2 linked regions of the Oryzias latipes genome follow. The main gene of each other region encodes a partner of the protein of the gene in region 2 in a complex. Links are inferred from orthologs where the notes say so. Each region holds a gene or a part of one and is shown on either strand. Other genes may lie near its edges.

Region 1 (8,906 bases), on a different chromosome or scaffold from region 2:
GTTGTGTTTGAAATCACTTTAGTGAAATTTGAATTTAAGATGAGTGTGCACAAGACATAATTTTATTATTTAATATGCTTTGCTTTGCTGAAAGAAAAAAGATTCAACTGCACTGCAGTAAAATATATTTCGTCACACTGCAGCAGGTTTTGGCCTGTTCTGCTGGTTTAGAGAACTATTTATTTGAGAAAAAAATAATAAACTGTCAATTCTGGTATCTGGTCTGTGACAGAGGCCTGAGGCAAAATGGATGGAGTTAAGAGGTACATCAACCACTTCCAACTTGTCTGGCTATTCTAGGAAATGACTCTTAGCCAGCTGTAATGAAAAGATCCAGAAGCGCAATCTCTTCTTGGACTGGTTACTAGAGATAAGCAGCCTTGTCATATTTTATCTCGGCCATCAAAACGTTCAGTTATGCTTCCATATTTGTGAGTCAAAGAGACCTGTTTTTATCAGCTGAGCTTCAATAAGCTGAGGCAGAATCCTTTAAAGCTTAGGGCGATCAAACTCATCAATATTTAGCAGTAAAAGTTTACATTTCTGTAGTACTCCAGGCTCAGCCTGATCTCTGTGTTCAGACTTGAGTAAGAATGATTGTCTTGCTTATAGCTAGACCGATACGTCTTTTTTTTTTCAAATCTAAAATTCCACTCATAACTTGGGTTTTTAATAGATGAAATATTTCCACAATACTTCTTGTTAAAGTTACAGAACAAAACATGACCTTGCAGCTGGAGATTGGCTCTAACAAGCAGTGGGGTTTTCAGGAGTTGGTATTGGGATTCTGAGCACTGCTAAACCTCAGCAAACAGAAAAGAGATGCTGAACAGAATTTTAACAATCTCCTCCACAACACTGAGGGAAAAGCACTGGAGTGTTGATGCACAACAAAATCCATTTCAGCAAATTTTCCATTGGCTAGACACTACTTGCTATTCAATACAATCATTATTCAAATGACGTTTTTCCAGCCTTAGTTCAAACAAGGTCTTAGCTTCACAGTAACCTTTAAATAAAGGCTTACAGGGATGGCTGCCAATCCTTAACAAACTGCATTTCCTTGAAAAAAAAAATGCTATAACAGGTCACATGATTAAAATCAAATGATGTTTGCTCAATTTTTTTTTTTTAAAGTTAGCTCAGGGGATCAAAGGAGCCCAGATGCTGGTTGGTTGCATTGGGATTCTCTCAATTATTTATCACTGATTTGTGATTTACCTACAGCGCCTCTCAGGGAGAGAGATGACTGGTGCGTCAGGAGAACAGAATGTCGTCATCAAAAGTGACGCAGCATCTTTTCAAGGGCTGGCAAATTGAAATGTGAATAGGCTGGTTTTTCTGGTTTCTGCTAGCCTTGATCCTTTATTAAAATGACTCACTCTTTGCACTAATGGAAAACTGACAGCCTCCAGCTGCAGGAAAGATAAAACCCCAACGCACAATGTCCATTTGATCCTAAACAAATAACTGAACAAAATGTCTCTTGAAAGAAATTAGAATCTAAGAAAATATTAATTTCTTGCTTTTTTTTCTAGGTGGAGAGGTATTGTATGACACTACCAACTCAGTGTTAAGTTAGAAAAGGGTGAACCAACAGCCCATCCTTATCCAGGCATTATTTTGAAGACATTCCAGTTCCACATTAAATTGAATTTTTCTCAAGTAAGGAAATATTTATATTTTTCAACTTTCTAAAAAAACAATGAGTAACTTAAGGGGTTCCTTATTCACAGCATTTTTACCTTCTCACAAGAAGTCAAATCTTTTGGGAAAAGCTCACATCAGCATCCAATTCTTAAAGTTGACTTCAAGCTCCAGATAATCAAACACTTGCTTTTAGGCAGGTGATCCCACCTGTTAATGAATCAGAAATCAAGGGGGGATTGGAAGCACCTGGCTCTTTAAATGCTTTGAAAGGAGTAAAGGCATTTTGGATTTAATATCTTCAAATAAAATCAAAATTGGCCTATTTATGGTTGTGAAGAAATGTTTTCAAAATATTTTCCACATTTGCCAAATTATATTAACTGCAGTTGAATACAACAAAATAATACAATTTCTTTTCATTTCTTCTGTTTCAGCCAATTTTAAATAGTCTCTACAGGAAGACTCACACTCCAGTTTCAAAATCTAGCAGTTTAATTATTGTGACACGTGTTTATGCCTTAAAGCCAAACATCCAATAGGCCACCAACAAAGCCGCCACATACTATTTTTATTTTTTCTTCTCTCTTCGCTCAATATCGTTGGATAGGAAAGTTAGGGCACCAAAATGTATGTTTTTATAGCCTTTGTACAAAACTGAAAAATACTCTTTAAATTTAGACACTACAAATATCAAAGGTTGCTATGAGGGACTATGTCCTGCTGGTTTTATCCAGTTACCCCCATCCTGAGTAATTCAAATTATATGGATCAGGTGTTCTGCCGGTAAGATGCTGAAAGGGATGGAGCAGTTGGAAATGAAACGGGTCAATGGCTTGTGAGCTCTGAAGTCTGTCACCCCTGATCTGTAGTGTTTTCAGAAAACGGTCCAAAAACGCATATACTTGGCCAGCGGCGGCCATGTTGGCATCCAAAGACCTTGTAAAGGCTTGTTAAATCAGTTTAAGTGGGTCGATTTGAACTGCAACCATGTTTGAATGGATGAATGACTGACTGGATGTTGCCTAAAACAAATTTGTTGAAGCTACTTTTTTTTCCAAACATTATTGCAGGAGACGCTGCAACTGCAGAAATTTTAACCTTGTCTAACATTAAACTCACAGCCAGTATAAATGTCTACAGCAGTGTTTCCTCGGATACATACCTTTATTGAACCAGAACAATGAGATTTAAAATTTTCAAATGGGTTGTGATAATTCTTAGTGGGACTCATTACCAAAAATAAATAAAAAAAATAAAAATAAAATCGTCTCTTCTTTAGAAGTGCATTGACAATTGAAACCTTAATATTTAAGACAATTAGAGAAACAAAATGTGATGGTTTAAGGAGAAAAAAAATTCAGGGAAGAAGACCAATCTCTTACTGATGACTAATGTCTAAATCTGTGATCAAAAAACAATAAAGATTGAAAGAAAGGAATTAAATATTCTCCTGTTCTAAATATACAGGACGGTATGGAGCTCAGTAGCTGTATGAATCATCAGTCAGCCGGAAATCTATATTTGCCTCTGGCTCATAATAAAGTTTGTGCTGTAGTGTTCTGGCTGCTGACTGTAGACCAGAAGGTGCTAAAGAAGTGCTACATTCACAGTGAAACGGTGGGAAACCGGATTTCAACTGGCAGACCAAAGCTGTGAGGTGGATTTCCATCCCTCTATGTACCAAAGTGGTCATTCATGTTTTTCCTGCATTTAAAACATTACAGGTGGAACCAACAAAGGTTCCTGAAATGTCACACTTTCTTTACATGACACTGTAATTTTGTTACAAAGCAGTTAAAAGTAATTTGTGCGCATTTCATTCACTGGTTATTGTTAAATAAAGTCATATTTGTTGTATAGCACGTTTAAAAAAAAGTATTGGAAGAAACACTTTGTGCGTAAGAGCCTGAAAGATTACGTAACTTTGTCTGATAGATCTTTTTTTTATCACTACAGGAAACCTCGAGTTCTCAACTTTCATCGGCTTAAAACTAAATGTTTCAATTCACGTGGGACTCATCTGAACTTTTGTCCAGAGACTACATGTTTTAATCCAGTCATGCATTATAAGAGACTGTTTGAAGGATTCAGCACCATGGACAGAGGCTGAAACGAACCCGCAACACTATTTGGATCAAAAAACAACAAATAATAGAAAAAAATAGATGTAATATTTACTTACCGAATTTTCTATCGGCGAGGGCAGATGAGGGGCAGAGGCTTACAGCCAATGCAGTGAAGAAGATGGGACACCACCGCGAATCCATGCCGCTCCTGCTCAAGAAGCCGAACCCGAATCCATGGCTCGCTAAAACGGCATGTTTGGACGCACGCGGGGGTCTGCTGCTCGGTCTGGGGGGTCTTAAATTGGCATTTTTTTAAAGGTATGTTGAGGGGTAACAACACCGACGTTGTTTCAGCACCACAAACAGCAACCAGCCTCACAGAGGAGCCCCGCCCAGGTTACTGACGTCAAACAGACACATGAGATGAGGAGAGCGCTCTGAATGGTTTTTACCGGGAGGCGTGAACGCACCACGCCAAAAGAAACCTAAAAAAAAACACCTGATTACTATACTTGTTACAGGCATGACAATGGTGTTGTGAGTTTGCTTTATTTACTGAACAGAGATGTGCACTATCAGCACCTGAAAATTGAATACACCATTTATGGAAAATAAAATATAATTTAGAACATATTTCTAAGCTTTGACCTCCAAAACACTCAAACAAACCTAAATAATCTATAAAATTTGAATCATGTAGTTCATATAAGCATTTTTGCATAATGAGATAAAAAATATTCCTCTATAGGGGTGAAAGCTGTGATAGTTACCCAACAGACACATCTTACTTATATTGATTTATAGTTTGTAATGATTAAAAACTAGATATAAAAACATGCAGTGATGTTTTGATTTACAAGAAAACATGTAAATTAGGATCGTGGAAAAAAACAGACAACAATTCTGTTCATTTAAGTCACCATGTTTTTAAACATTGTCAAAGCTTTTTGCTTTGACAAAATAAGACATGCGCACTGTGAGGAGGGAAGTAAACAGAGAAAAGAAGGAAATACAAAAGCTTTAGTATATATTTAAAAATCCATTTAGAGAAACTGGAACATTATATGCTTGTTTTCCGTCAAGTTCATCCAATATTGTGATTTCTTTGCTTCTAATTACGACACAAATATGAAAAATGAGGAAATAGCTTCCTGTTCACCATGGCAACAAATTGATGTTATAAATGCAGGATCTCATTCAAAGTCTTCACTGAAGATTCATAGATGGCCCTGAAGCAACAAAGGGAGTGAAATTAGTCAAATGAAGAATTACCAGTACGAAAAAGATGCTTTTTTCCTGTTTCTCACCTCTGGATTTCTCCATCGTCTTCATCAGAGATGGCGTATTTGTGGATCTGCTGCTGGATGGATACCGCTGCACTCTTCAGCCCAGCTTCAGAACCTTTGGCTAAAGATGGACAAACACAACATTTATACATATATTTATATAGATTTTCTTTAACATGAGCTTGATTTTAAAATAAATATTCTGGTGACTCAACCCACCCCCCTTGATAACTGCTAAAACACGCAGAACGGCAGCCAGCTCAGAGAGGCTGCTTATGGCTTCAGAGTCCAAAGATGAGCCCACCTCTGTCAGAAATGACCTAAGAGAAGAAAGAAAGCATTTCAGCATCTATGACATGTTTTTCATGAATGTTTTAAAATACTTTTAAGGCCATACTTTGTAATCTGTGGTGACTTCAGAATGACCGACAGCAATGTGCTGGACAAAGGAGGCATCTCATCTACTGACTGTGGGGCGATCACTTCCTCTGGATGAGCAATCTGATAAAAATCCAAATACTAAAAGCTTAGAAGAGGCATTTCTCTCATTAACTTCAATTACACTTTTTTATTTTAGCCGAGTCATCTCAAACCTTTTGGAGAACACGTCTCTTCTCCACAATGATGATGGCAAAAATGGTAGAGAGGACTCCACTGAGAGGTTCTCTGTCCCAGGTTTGTGCCACTTGGAGGAAGTCTCTCATACCCGCGACGACTGACAGACACAGCTGAACCAGGAGACACGAAGAACAGCAACCTCAAAGAAATGTAACGCCTTCACAAAAGAGAGTAAAGAGGACAACATGCCTGTTTTCCCCCCTCTGGATCCTTTCGAAGCCTCTTTGCCAAAACCTCGATTATCTTCTGGAAAATATTGGCCACCACCCCCAGAATGACAGCAGTTGGATCCTCCTTGCTCTCCTGATTCTGGTTGTTGTCCTCGGGTACTTTACTGTTTGCCACCTCCTTTAGAATCAGCAGCACAGCAGGGATGCATCGATAGCCTCCCTCTGCACGCGTGGAAAGAGGTTTTTCTTTTTTCCCATTTTCATCAAAGCACAACGGTTCACCAGATTATATGGAAGAGTTCTGACCCCGAACAGGCACTTTTAAAACCCTCACCTGAGAGGAGGAGGACTGAGCACAGGTGGAGGATTTCACTGTAGAACTTCTCATCGCCCAAATCCACAAGAATAACATCACAACACACGGTTAAGAAGCTCTGGAAAAAATGTACAAATGTTAGACGTTAGAAACACTTTTGATATCAGTCAGACTGGAGAAACAGTGAACTAAGAAATGGCAAAGAATAAGAAATAAAACGGAGAGTTTTGTACATGGTGAGTGGGGACAGAAGCAGAACGAGACAAAATTCACTCAGCAGAACTGCAAGATGTGGAAGGAGGAGGTTAAAAAGACAAAATTCTGTACTAAAAACTGTTTTTATCTGCAGGGGAAATGTGCTGCTCTGAAAGGAAGAAGCCAGAAGTTGTAGGAACAAAAGCATTTGATTGAATCTGCCTGCTGGGAAATCACATCACAGGGTTTGACAATAATCTGCATAAATAACCTTGCTAAAATGCGCCGGCGTTTATCCGCATTTCACTCTTTCTTTATGAAAAGGAGAAAAAAAAAACTGGAGCTGCACGGATTGCAAAAGCCTCCGACTGTCGTAGACGGAAAGCGAACAGGCGTTTATTAAAGCGATAGGCCTCCCGCTGGTGTGATTCTGAGGGGAAAGACATGGCTGCTCGTACGCACACATGACACATTTGCTTATGCGAGCTAAGACCACACCCCTGAGTGACACAAACACAGCCTCATATCTCGTTGTGAGACATTTTCTCCGCTTGACAGATAAAAACACTTGATTCTTGGCAAACAGGCTACATTTTCTGCATTAATCTGGAAAAGATCAACACTAAAATCCCTTCTAAATATTGTCCAGCTGTGTATAAAATTAAGGAAAAGCAGATGTTACCTCAATTATTTGAGCAGCCAGCAACTGTGACTTGTCTGATTCCTCCTGGTTGCTGCCGGTTTGTTTAGTCAGAAAGGGCAGCACCCTGTCTGCTACCCAGACTGCCACATGCTCCAGGGAGAGCAGGTACTCCCGGCCTTCTGTCAGCTAGGAAATAAAGCAAAAGCCTTCGGTTTATTTTCGACAGTAACTTTTTTTACAGCTAAGCAGAAGGAACAGGCTCCTGGCCAGGAAGAAACTGGCTGTTAAAGCAGTCAGCTGGTGAAATGTGTGAAGTCGAAACTGCTCCAGAAGGTGTTGAAGAAAGGAAACGAGAGAAGAATTATTCTTTTACTAATATTGTTTTTGTTATTTATAAATCTGCACATTATCTTCAGCACGCACAAGAGATAAAGATACGTTTTTAACAGGAGTATAAATGTTTACGACGTCAACATTTAGACGTACAAACAGAACATGTCAAAGCAGCAAAAGCTTTTATTCCTTTTACTCACCACTAAAAAGAAACGTTTTTCACTTTATTTACCAAAATAAAAGAAAATTAGTTCTAATAAAGTATTTGCTTTAAAGCAACAAGGTCTACACTTTCATTTAGTTAATTGTTATGTCGATTTTTGGACACATTTGTTTGCCTAACTAGAGGTGTAACAATTAATCGACTTCATTGATTTATACTCTTACGATCCAAACAGGTCGATCTGTCTGGGATAAATTATTAATTGAAGAGAACTATACAATTACTTCAAAATTAAAAATTATACATTATAATTGATATTGGAAAATACAATCCGGATTGAAACACTGTAGTTTTATTTCACTATAATGCAAAAACTACAAAGTGACATCACAGCGGACAACATACGTGATGACAGCAAAAAAACATATCAGTCCATCAATCCAGTTCAGTGTGTGGAAACACTTTGAATGTTCCAATAGTTCGTATTATTTTGGTGTGGAAAAGAACAGTGGGCTGAACTTTAGAAAGGCAAAATGTGAACGGATTTGCCATTAAGTCTTGTTTACTTGCTTGTTTGTACACATATTCAATTTACCGTACACTTGACTATCTTGCAAGAAATGCCAGGAATGTGGAAAACGTCAGCTGCAGTGTTCAGCTGCAGGTATTTATCTCTGAGTCACACCGGTTGAAGTTTCGAAACAGGATTAGGTTCATGAATTGGATTGTTGAAAATGAACCATTATCGACTATAAATCATATCAGCAACCCCAAATTATAGGAATTGAATCGTTAAAATGAATCATTGCACCCCTATGTGTTACCTGTTTTGAAAATACTAGTTATTTTAAATGATTTCAAAACTATTTTATTTATAATTCATAGTAAGCTGCAACTTATCTTTTAAAAATGTTGTTTCATTACCCAGTAATATTGACTGGATGTCATTTATTTCCCCCTAATGATAACTATTTGATTGCTTTCCCCATTAAAGAACTAAATCTTCCTCACAATCTGAAATCTGATCGTTTATTATAAGCATAACAAATTTTAAGCAGTTTTGTCGCAAAAGGATTGTTTTCTTCTGAAACACAGAGAGAGAAAAAGGATTTTTTTTTTCCATGAGCAGACATGAGATGACAGTCTGCATGCTGTTGTTCTTCTCCCCTGCTGTTGAGATGAAGGTTGACAGCACTCGCTATCGTTTCTTTCTGACTCGCTGGAAACACCAAATTCTCCCTCTCCTGCTGCGTTTTATGAGATACGAGATAAAAATAAAAGCACGGGTCAGATCTCCAAGTCATGCTGGTAAATTTAGTCACGCAGATTCAAAGAATTGTTGAAATATTTACAGTCTGGAGCTTTGAGTGCGGCTTTGTCTTCATGAAAATTATTCTTTTTGCCAATATTCTTATTTTTACTGAGATCAGTTCCCACCTGTAATTACCTTTTCAGTAAACTAAAAA
Region 2 (10,327 bases):
GCCACGCAGGAACCCAAGGTTCGACTCCCAGCGGGGAATCAACAATGGTACTGGGGGCAATTACCATTACAATTAACATCACTCAGTGGGGCAAAACTTAATGCTACTGCCTCCCGAGCTGCAGCTCACAGCTCCCCCAGGGGATGGGTCAAATGCAGAGAAGAATTATTGATAAATAAATTATTTATTATTATTAGACACCGTGGCCCCACCAAATTGCACATTTTAAATGTGGAGGTGGGCGGAGCCATGAAATGGCCAACGCCCTTCATTCATCTGACGTTTAATCCACCAGAGATTCATTTGACCCTCGGGCCGACCCAGACAATAAAAACGGTCAACGGCAGCCGACTCACCACCTGCAGCTTCACCAGGTCTTCGTAGGACAGCTCATCCGCCTGATCTGCAGACAGAAGGAGAGGCTGAGACGTGCACACACACACGTGCACACATACAGGGGTGAGACAGACTTAGCCCCGCCCCGTTTTCTTCTGATGCAAAATTTCAACCTGAAAACTAGATTTACCCAACCCCTCCGTGCCTCAGGTTTTTCTACCAACCCAAATCCTCACCAGTCCGGTCAAAACCGGACGGCGGGACCATCAGACACCTGAAACCGGGTCAACTTTACCTGCAATGTGCTGAGCTCCTCCAGCAAAGTCTGCAGGATCTTCAGGAGACTCTTCCTCTGAGAGGTCGTGCTCTCCTGCACACACTGCTGGTCAGACGTGGTACTGCAAGCGTTGGCGTCTCACAAAGATGCAAAACCTTTTTTACCAAACATGTCAGCGTCCCTGAAGGCGTCTGCAGGCTCATCCCCCTCCTGCTGCAGCCCCACCTCCTGTGGCTGCAGCAAGGTTCTCCTCAGCTCATCCTCTGACATCACCAGACCCTGGTGGACGTCATCCTAATCATCATCATGTTCAGGTCCAGACTGAAGGCTTGTAAAGTGCGGCAGGTCTCACCACTCTGCGATTGAGCCTCCTCCTGGTCCGGATCTTGTCCTTCAGTGACTTCAGGTAGATGTAGTTCAGGTCTGAAACAGGAAGTGGAGTCAGGAAAAGACCCGCCTCTCAGTTTGCCAGAGTCCTGATGTGCTGTGTACCTGTGAAGGTGGGTCCACCTTTTAGCTTGTTCTCCATAGGACCAGCTGTAGCACACGAGCACCCGCGCGCACACACACACACACACACACATGAGGATGATGATGTGGCTTTCATGAAACATCAGTGTGAGCAGTAGTTCTCACAGGTTCCTCTGAACCAGCTCCTGAAGTCCTGCAGAGGACAAGGGCACCTCCTCTTCCTCTTTCCTCCTTCATCCAGACCGTGTGGAACCCTGTAGCACCTCCCTAAGGAGACACACAACTGTGAGTGGACACAACTTTGTGTAGTGACACCCAGCTGAGGAACGGCCTTGACTGACCCATCCTGAAGGGCTTGTCGTGGGCGAGGACAGCGTAGGGGTCGTGGAGCGTCCAGACGTTCACCTGGAACAGAGAGACCTTCAGGTAGACGTTTACTTGTGGAGAAGCGTTTCAGAAAGTCCTGAGAACGAAGAAAGACGTCCTACAAACGCCTCTGACTAAAACGGGAGGACCGGCTTACAGCCCGGTCTGCACCTGACACCTTCACCTGAAGGCTGACAGAAACGAGGCAGAGGAGATGGGACTGCACATCTGCAGGATGAAGAACAGACAAGTGGTCTGTGGAATCAGGTGACCTACTGGAGGCGGGGCATCCTGCTGGGGTCTTTCCTCAGCAAAGATCTGCCGTTTCTCTCGGACGCCGCTCCCAGCCTGCAACACAGCCACAACAAGTTCAGGTTCTGGACCGTCCAGGTGGAGCACCTGTGCTGTTCTGATGAGACCTGGTGCCGGTCCACATGCTGCTCTGGGTCCTGGTCACTTCTGTCTTCTGGACGGCAGTCTTCTCCTGCCTCAGGGGGCACGTCTGCACCCATGGAGGCATCAACAGAGGAATCCTGATGCAAGAAGTTGGCGGGATGCAGGTCCAGCTCCAGCGCAGAGCGCAGCCTCAGTAAGACCACGCCCCCCTCCCCCGGGAAGAACAGGTTAATCCGAAAGTCCCTCTGGCTGCACAGCACCTCCCCCTTCACACTGACACACGAAGAGACGGCTGTGAGCAGAGCGCACGGCCCGGCGGGTCAGACCCTGCCGCTCCACCCACCTGATGAGGGGCAGCTTCTGCTTCTCCTGGCTTTCTGGAGGAATCAGAGACTCGGGAGGAAGAGGAGTGACGACCACGGTCTGAGGGTCACATGACAGCAATCACACGCTTACGGCCTGTGTACCTCCCAACAGGCAACACCTGTGTACCTCCCAACAGGCAACACCTGTGTACCTCCCAACAGGCAACACCTGTGTACCTCCCAACAGGCAACACCTGTGTACCTCCCAACAGGCAACACCTGTGTACCTCCCAACAGGCAACACCTGTGTACCTCCCAACAGGCAACACCTGTGTACCTCCCAACAGGCAACACCTGTGTACCTCCCAACAGGCAACACCTGTGTACCTCGCAACAGGTAACACCTGTGTACCTCGCAACAGGTAACACCTGTGTACCTCGCAACAGGTAACACCTGTGTACCTCCTAACAGGTAACACCTGTGTACCTCCTAACAGGTAACACCTGTGTACCTCCTAACAGGTAACGCCGCGGCCTCTTTTCTGAAGACACCGGGGGGGGTATTCCAGGAAGCAGGTTCTGCTAGCTCCCACGGTAAGTTTGAGGCTAAGGAAGTTGATAACCTCAGCTTTCGGTTCCAGAAATGGAGGTATGTTTCAGGGTAGGTCAAGTTGCCATAGCAACTCATGCTCTGAACATAACCTGGTCTGGAGCAGGTTTAGTTGAAGGTTAGTTTGTTTTCAGAGAGGTGAAGCAGCATGGCGTGTCCATTTGAAGATGATTTAGTGGATGAAGAAGCTCAGATAATACTTTTTCCACCATGAGAGAGTGATAAGACCACATATGGATGTTGGAAAGAGAAACTTTATACTTTGATCTAACTTCATTATTTGCTTCAGTTAAGATAAATCATTTTTTTTGTTAAGTTAGATTAAAAATAAAACGTAGTTTTCAGACAGTTGTTTTACTTTCATTCAAATTAATTCAATTAAGTAGGTGCTGTTAGATCGGCACCGCAAAGGATTGTGGGATACCATTCCCTTTGCCTGTCTGGACGGATTTGGATTTAAGTGTGGCTTTGTGACCAAATGTGTTTAGTTGTTTAGCTGTTTTACTGTGTTTTGTCGAGTTATTTTGTCCTACTTTGCTTACGTCTCTGCACCATGAGTGAGAGGGAGGGAGAGGATTATTGATTATTTAATCAATTTATACACTTTGTGCATTTTGTTTCGTCCTTTTTATTGTTATACAAATGAGAATATCTGCCGGCTCAAACTTAGACATTTGAGAGTTCAAGAAATATAATTAAGATGGAAAAAATATTAATTGAATTGGAGTAATATGACATTTAGTTAGATAAATACGTAAATTTGAGTTGCATAAACAATTATTGAGTTTTATAGACGTAAGAAATTACGTTGAATAATTTTAACTCAATTATTTGTTACCAATAGAAGTAATTCATTTAAGTTGGCAAAATTGGATAAGTTATATATATATATATATTTCTGCGTCACAAAGAAAATGGAAATAAGATCAGAAACTCGTGCGTTTACTTTGTTCTTTGTCTCCAAGCAGAAACTCTCTTTTGCTGATGATGCAGCCGTGTTACTTTTTTGATGGACGTATAATCTTCATACGGCGTCATTAAAATCTCAGACTCCGTCTCACTGAAGTATAGCGCTTTCTTTTTTTCCACGTGTTTCCATGGTGACTCCAGAAAGCGGCGATCCATTGAGAATGTCTTTATGTACCTGCTGTGCACGTGCATTAACCCAGGGTTACCAAGTGGAGCGTGATTACGTTAACTCATATCCGGTCTTTTGGAACCGACATACCCAGAGTAAGCAAGTTCGGGTGGATTTCAGCCAGAGTTCAGGCTTAAAGTCAGGGAAGTTTAATCATGCTATCTGGAATATTCTTCCTGGAATTTAAAAAAGAACTGGACATAAACTGCTCATGTTATCGTTCCTCACCAGAAACTGTGCCTCATCAGTTTTGCTCTTTCACTCCAACATTTTGGAAAGATTTGACTCATTTTAGAACAAACCCCGTGAAACTATAAATGATTCTATGAACATATTTCTGGATATTTTACACGAGGGAGATTTAATGCAGAGAAAACATAGATAGTTAACTTACTTATAGTTATGGTCAAATATTCCATTCATACGTGTAAATATGCTAACAAAAAAAACGTATTTTCCTAAAGAAATGATTCTGTGTGTCAATAGCTGTTGGAACAGTGGAAACATGGTCACTGTTGAGACTTTATTTCTGTTTTAGTGTTTTCTGCCTGTTTTTATTATGGCTTTTTGTTCATTTTCCTGGCAAATGTGAACATTTTGAGTTTTGTACAGTGTCAATGTTTGATATTTTGAATGTGCAATATTTGTTAATAAAGTTCATTTGAGGAAAAAAAAAACCTGCTTCCTGCCAGACAGGAAGTTGAACCCCAGCTCGCCCATGGATAGGAAGCTTCCTCACCGTACTCAGACCAGACTGATGCCAGTTCTGTGACTGATCCAGGTCCAGAGGGCTGAACTGATGTAGACAAAAACATCTCATGTTACCCAACATGCTTTGCAGCAGCTGCCAGGAGTAGGCAATCAACAAAACAGGGATTAAACAGGAAGTGACTTTTCTTACCATATCCTGGCCATCATCGTCCCTGTTGCTCGTCATTCTGCTTCCGCCGCTCTTCTCAGTCTCCGCCTCCTGGCTCCGCCTGTCAGGTGGACATCGGTGGACACGGGCAGAAGAACAGTGAGGCCCTGGACAACATGGCGGCAAAACTGCTTAAGCAGAACTGACTTCTTGTTTTTTTCACTGATGAACTCCAGCGTCTGAAAAACCAGATGATGCAGCAGCTCCACCTGCAATGGTCAGAGAGGCTCCATCAGTGGTCCATTTGGGTCACATGACCCGTCACATGACTGCGCCCACCTTCTTGCTGTAGATGCAGGCCGAGCCCTGAATAAGCAAAGCAGCTTCAGCGAAGTTCAGTCGGGTTTTTCCTCCGTCGAAGGTGATGCACATCTCATCCAGCTGCAGACACACAGGGAAGTTAACGTGTTACCTTCACAGAGGGGGAGCCACTGTGGGGAGGGGGGCATCACATGATCACAGCAGCCAATCAGAGTCAAGCTGCACTCCGCCTCCTTCAGTGAAACCAGTGTTTTCATGATGAAGGTCATCTAAATCTGTTTCAGGTTCATCTAACTCAGCTGCTGGGAGTCCAGGTGATTCTGAATAAAGCTCCAGCAGGTGTGGCTACCTGGTTCTTGGTCAGCTTCAGTTTACGTCAGAGAAGCTGGGGTTCTTCTGAGCCCCCCCCAAACAGGTGGCGCTCGTCTCCGTCTTACCTCGTCCAGGTAGTCGTTAAGCTGGGACGCCACGTCCACATCCCAGTTCTTGGTCAGTTCTCTGATGGGCTGCAGCAGGTGAGCAAAGCGGCTCTCTGTGGACTCCATGATGACTCCGCCCCCTCCAGACTCTGGAGAACTCAAAGAACGGGTCGGATCTGCAGGAGGGAACCGGGACAAACACTGAAGGGCGTTTGGGCCACGGATAAACCACCAACCCAGAACCTCCATTCTGGACCCAGAAGAGTGGAGGCGACCAAAGACTCCAGTGTGTGTCTGAACGTCTCACGAAAACGCCTGAACATCTCAGAGAAACGCCTGAACGTCGCACGAAAACGCCTGAACGTCGCACGAAAACGCCTGAACGTCTCACGAAAACGCCTGAACATCTCAGAGAAACGCCTGAACATCTCAGAGAAACGCCTGAACGTCGCACGAAAACGCCTGAACGTCGCACGAAAACGCCTGAACGTCTCAGAGAAACACCCGAACGTCTCACGAAAACAACTGAACGTCTCAGAGAAACACCCGAACGTCTCATAAAAAACCCCGAACGTCTCATGAAAACACCTGAACACTAACAACTCTGTTCTCTAGTCTGCACTGACTGTCGGTCGGTGTCCTCACGTCACTGTCGACCTTCTAAACTCCGGGAATGAAAAGTGGAAAGTCTACCTGCAAAGAGGGCAGTTCTCCAGCAGAGCGGGAAAGCAGTCAGACGTCCGTCACCAAAACACCTGTGGAGACGCACGCGCCCACAGGGAAGGTTAAGCAAAGGAATTGACCGGACTTAACGCTCGCGCCTGTTTCCACTCAAATTACCCGCGCGGCCGGAAGTTCTTATTCGTCGCTCTTGTTTGGTGTCTGCTGCCCCTGTGGCCGCGGGGCGGTACTGCACCGGGAATGATTTCGGATCAGCTCAAACGCAGTCAAACGGACCTTTTCCTGTAATATTCAGTGAAATAAACCTGTAGCAGAAGCTGTGAATAAAGTTGAACTGTTGACAGATTCCAGTTGTTAAACGGGTTGACGTGTTTACATCAATCAGGTCAGAACCAGCAGAACCACCGAGTAAGCCCAGGCTGCAGCCTGCAGAATTGTCTGCAGCCTGCAGAATGGCTCAACGTAGTGGAATGCTGGAACGCTGAGGAATGTGAACACGCTGTGGAATGTTAACCCCGCCCACGTTGAGCCCGTGCATTTGATTCACCTTCATCAGTGCAGTTGTGATTGCAGGAAAGGGGAAGAATAAGTGGAGCACATTTTGTGTCATTGTGAATTGAATGAGGAAGAAAGAGGACAGAGGGGAAGAAAATTTGAATGGTGCAATGTTTTTTTATCACTCAAAAAAATGATTCAAGCCCCTCTTTCATGTAACACAATATAATTGTGTTTGTTTTATTTAAAAATATTTATTTTAAAAGAATTTATCTACATTTAATTGACCTAACACAAAATGTATTAATAATTTCCCCGACAACTCCAGTAATCCAGAATAATTGAGTTCAAGTAAGGGGCATGCTGTTGAATGCTGTTTTCCTGTTTCTCTTTATTTATTCTTTTTGCCGTCTTACGGCAACAATTTTTCACCTATTTTAACTATTCAACTATTAAAATGTTCAACTCCTTCGTCTAATGCCTGGTTTGACTTTTGGTCCTTCAAATCCTTTGACTTTTCAAAAGTGAAAACTTTCGTTCGTTTTTTCCACGTAAAAAAACGAAACTGTGCCATGAAATCGTTTCAACTCGGCTTCTCCCAATAAGACGAAACACGACGAGCCTCATTTATGTAAATAATAAATCTATTTATTTTTACAGGCGGCTTGAAAACATCACAAAAGTGTTAGCTCAGTGGATTAGTTAGTGGGTTTAACATCCAGAGGTTCTGAGTTCGAGGCTGGCTTCTGATTGCTGATGCATGTTTTTTTCCTTTGCCTTTCTTGATAAAATTAAGTTCGATTAACTCAATTATATTTCGTTACATGGAAGAATTTTCTTTGAGGTGGGGTTACTCATATTTATTGGATGGAAATCCTGCCCACAATTAAATTGAGTTCATCCAATGAGTTATTTTTTTGAGTCCGTGAGGCCAGACAAAATTTATTAACTCCCTAATACATGCACATGGAAACTTGTAAAAGGCATGAGAAGACAGCAATCACTGTATAATTTCTCTAATTCAATTAAAAAATGTTTTTTTATTTAGCGCCAATTCGAATTACAGACGTCTCAATGGGCTTCATACCGGTAATTGTAAGGTAAACATACAATGAAAAAGGGATCATGAACACAAAGAATGCATTAGGATTAATACTAAACCTTAACAAAACAGATTAATCTAAACTGATATTCCTGCCCTTAGACCCCCCCTTCACGGTAAGGAAAAACTCCTTAAAAACTGGTAGGTGGCAATATTGCACATGGAAACTTGTGAAACCAAAGAAGACGGGCTCAGCGTGGGCGGGGTTAACATTCCACAGCGTGTTCACATTCCTCAGCGTTTCAGCATTCCACTATGTTGTGCAGTTCTGCAGGCTGGAGCCAGGGGTAGTTGGAACCAATGAGTTCTATCACTAGAGGAGACATCACGTGGTTCCTCATGGGAAGAGAGCACCGCCATCTTGGTGAGGTCAAGTTACTACTGCAGTGCATGTGAACACATTTTTTGCATAATACCAGTTCATTGTTTGGGTTTCAACTGCCAAAATCAGAGAAATGAGTCCATGAAGGAGGAAGGCATATAATGTTACGGGTAAGTATTTTGATTTTTTTAGGGGCTTCATTAATCGTACTCATGTACGGGAGCCGGTTTAGCTCGTGCTGGTTTGCGGCGCCTTCCGTCCGTGAAACCAGGGTTCGACTCCGGGCTGCTCCCTGTTCCCTTCTCTACCCCTGTGCCGGTTCCAAGCCCGGTTTGAGAAGGTTGCGTCAGGAAGGGCATCCGGCGTAAAACATTGCCAAGTTTACCATGCGACTTGTTCGCTGTGGCGACCCCTGATGGGAAAAGCCGAAAGAGACACACATTAATCGTACTCATGTAGACATCCATGATGCTGCAGGGCTGTTATCAACATGCTGCATGATGTACGGATAATTTCCTGTCGACATAAATGTACATTTTATTTTGCTAAACCTGTATACAGCATACTAGGCTATTATAGTAATATAGATTTATACATTTCTGACTCAGTGACTGAACTTTTCTTGCAGGTTTCTAATGGATTCAGACTTCAGGAAAAAGTGGGCCTTACTATCAAAAGAACTAACCCAGATGGATCACTGTGGTACCAACTAGTAATACAGTCTGGATAAGTTTAAAACATTTGTGGAAACAGATTTTGATGAGAGGCCAGACTGTTTGCTTGAAACCTGACACCAAAACATCAGTGTTACACAAACTGATCACTAACATGAATCAGTAAATCTATTGTTTTTCCTTGTTGTTTTTTTAGGGTAAATCTATTGTTTACTTTTGGACTTCTTTTGAATATTTATTTTATTATTGTATTATTATTATTTTTATTATTATGATTATTATTATTATTATTATATACTTTTTTCATTATTTATTGACTTATTATTTATTTATTGTTTGTATTTACTTAATATTGATTTATTATTATTATTATTATTATTATTATTAATTATTATTATTATTATTATTATTATTATTATTATTATTATTATTATTATTATTATTATTATTATTATTGACTTATTGTTGGGTTTTTCTAAATAATTTAAATTACATGTCAAAGAGGTATAAAACTTCTAAATATTTAGAAATTATTTTTAAAATTTCTTTGTAATAAATTTTTTATTAGTAAGAAGTCCTGCAACAATGGATTTTCATTCAAGTTTGAGCTTTTAAGGCTGACTGTTTCTCTTCTTTAACAACAACAAATGACATATCTATATATTATGTATAAATATAATGTATTTACATATATGTATAAATATATATAAATGTAAACATATATACAGTACATAAAAGCTACTTAGACACCACTAAAAGCAATAGAAATCATTGTCATGTGGGCGTCGTCCACCTCACCAAGATTGTGTCGCGCTTCGCCACCGTCGGCCAGGCTTCTAAAGCGGGCGTGTCTCCTCTAGTGTCTCAGGTTTATTCTTCCATCCATCTACGGCAGTGTTCTGAAACCCAAACAAACCAAACCAGTTCCACCTGGGTCGTTAATAGCTGACCAGTTTGGGGAGGGAGTCACTGGCTCCCCAACCCCCAGCTGAGGACAAAGGACTCTTAACGACCTTAAACCATGTAGGCTAAGTTGACAATACCATCCAGTTTCAGGTCTGACTCCTCCCCCATGAGCGCATATATACCAGCTTTTTGACCAGCTAATTCAGAATTGACAAAACCTCTTGGATAAGAAGTGAAACGTCTTCTAACTTTAAAACCAAGTTCAGATGACATCCCCTAAACATACTACTACGTTTAAGTTTATTTTTTAACAATTATGTTTTTATTCATAAATGATTTTTTTAAACAAAATGTTTTTGTGTTTTAAAAACAATCTTTTTCTTGAAAAATTTCTGAAATGTCTTAAAAATAATTGATTATAGAGCTGTGGAACTTGAATCGTTTCTCTGGATGAATGTCGTCATTTCTCTATTTTATACTTTTTAGTTTGTTTTTCTTCTCATTTTCTCTTTTTTTCGGCTGACTTTGTTGCAGCTTTTTGTTTGTGACTTTTGTGTACATAAAGTGTCCAGATTCTGGTTCCCCCATTGCCGTGTTGTGCACATGGGGGTCCAGATGGGGGTCCTCTGTCCTCCTGTTTGCCTGTAAC

What was found.
Region 1: the proteins of ncaph2 (region 2) and ncapg2 are in contact, whole or in part, in a cryo-EM structure (PDB 9F5W), measured with the Homo sapiens proteins. The link is inferred for Oryzias latipes from reciprocal best matches to the Homo sapiens genes NCAPH2 and NCAPG2. Residues at the interface, in NP_689512.2 of Homo sapiens: Pro316, Trp317, Gln318, Ser319, Leu320, Pro322, Phe323, Asp324, Ser325, Leu326, Glu327, Ser328, Lys329, Pro330, Phe331, Lys332, Lys333, Gly334, Arg335, Pro336, Tyr337, Ser338, Val339, Glu344, Gln360, Asp361, Phe362, Gln364, Trp365, Tyr366; in NP_001268861.1 of Homo sapiens: Lys248, Leu251, Gln252, His292, Ile294, His295, Leu296, Pro297, Arg299, Ser300, Val302, Lys340, Ala341, Arg342, Asn343, Ser344, Glu345, Val346, Pro388, Tyr389, Pro390, Arg393, Gly425, Glu426, Ala428, Phe429, Asp430, Thr431, Ser432, Arg437.

Annotation. Positions count from the first base shown.
Region 1 is NC_019878.2:19,841,952-19,850,857, forward strand, and holds the end of ncapg2 (condensin-2 complex subunit G2), read right to left. Parts: intron 7,131-8,906; coding exon 6,984-7,130; intron 6,225-6,983; coding exon 6,125-6,224; intron 6,013-6,124; coding exon 5,810-6,012; intron 5,731-5,809; coding exon 5,596-5,730; intron 5,504-5,595; coding exon 5,400-5,503; intron 5,323-5,399; coding exon 5,222-5,322; intron 5,124-5,221; coding exon 5,024-5,123; intron 4,946-5,023; coding exon 4,894-4,945; 3' UTR 4,626-4,893; downstream 1-4,625. Other genes in the region: ptprn2 (receptor-type tyrosine-protein phosphatase N2), read right to left, coding at 3,833-3,917. UniProt on the Homo sapiens protein: Regulatory subunit of the condensin-2 complex, a complex which establishes mitotic chromosome architecture and is involved in physical rigidity of the chromatid axis.
Region 2 is NC_019881.2:24,032,583-24,042,909, forward strand, and holds the start of ncaph2 (condensin-2 complex subunit H2), read right to left. Parts: upstream 6,443-10,327; 5' UTR 6,192-6,442; intron 5,675-6,191; 5' UTR 5,625-5,674; coding exon 5,517-5,624; intron 5,200-5,516; coding exon 5,098-5,199; intron 5,028-5,097; coding exon 4,966-5,027; intron 4,880-4,965; coding exon 4,801-4,879; intron 4,696-4,800; coding exon 4,639-4,695; intron 2,270-4,638; coding exon 2,190-2,269; intron 2,120-2,189; coding exon 1,870-2,119; intron 1,799-1,869; coding exon 1,727-1,798; intron 1,490-1,726; coding exon 1,426-1,489; intron 1,352-1,425; coding exon 1,250-1,351; intron 1,151-1,249; coding exon 1,106-1,150; intron 1,037-1,105; coding exon 966-1,036; intron 893-965; coding exon 778-892; intron 707-777; coding exon 632-706; intron 404-631; coding exon 357-403; intron 1-356. UniProt on the Homo sapiens protein: Regulatory subunit of the condensin-2 complex, a complex that seems to provide chromosomes with an additional level of organization and rigidity and in establishing mitotic chromosome architecture.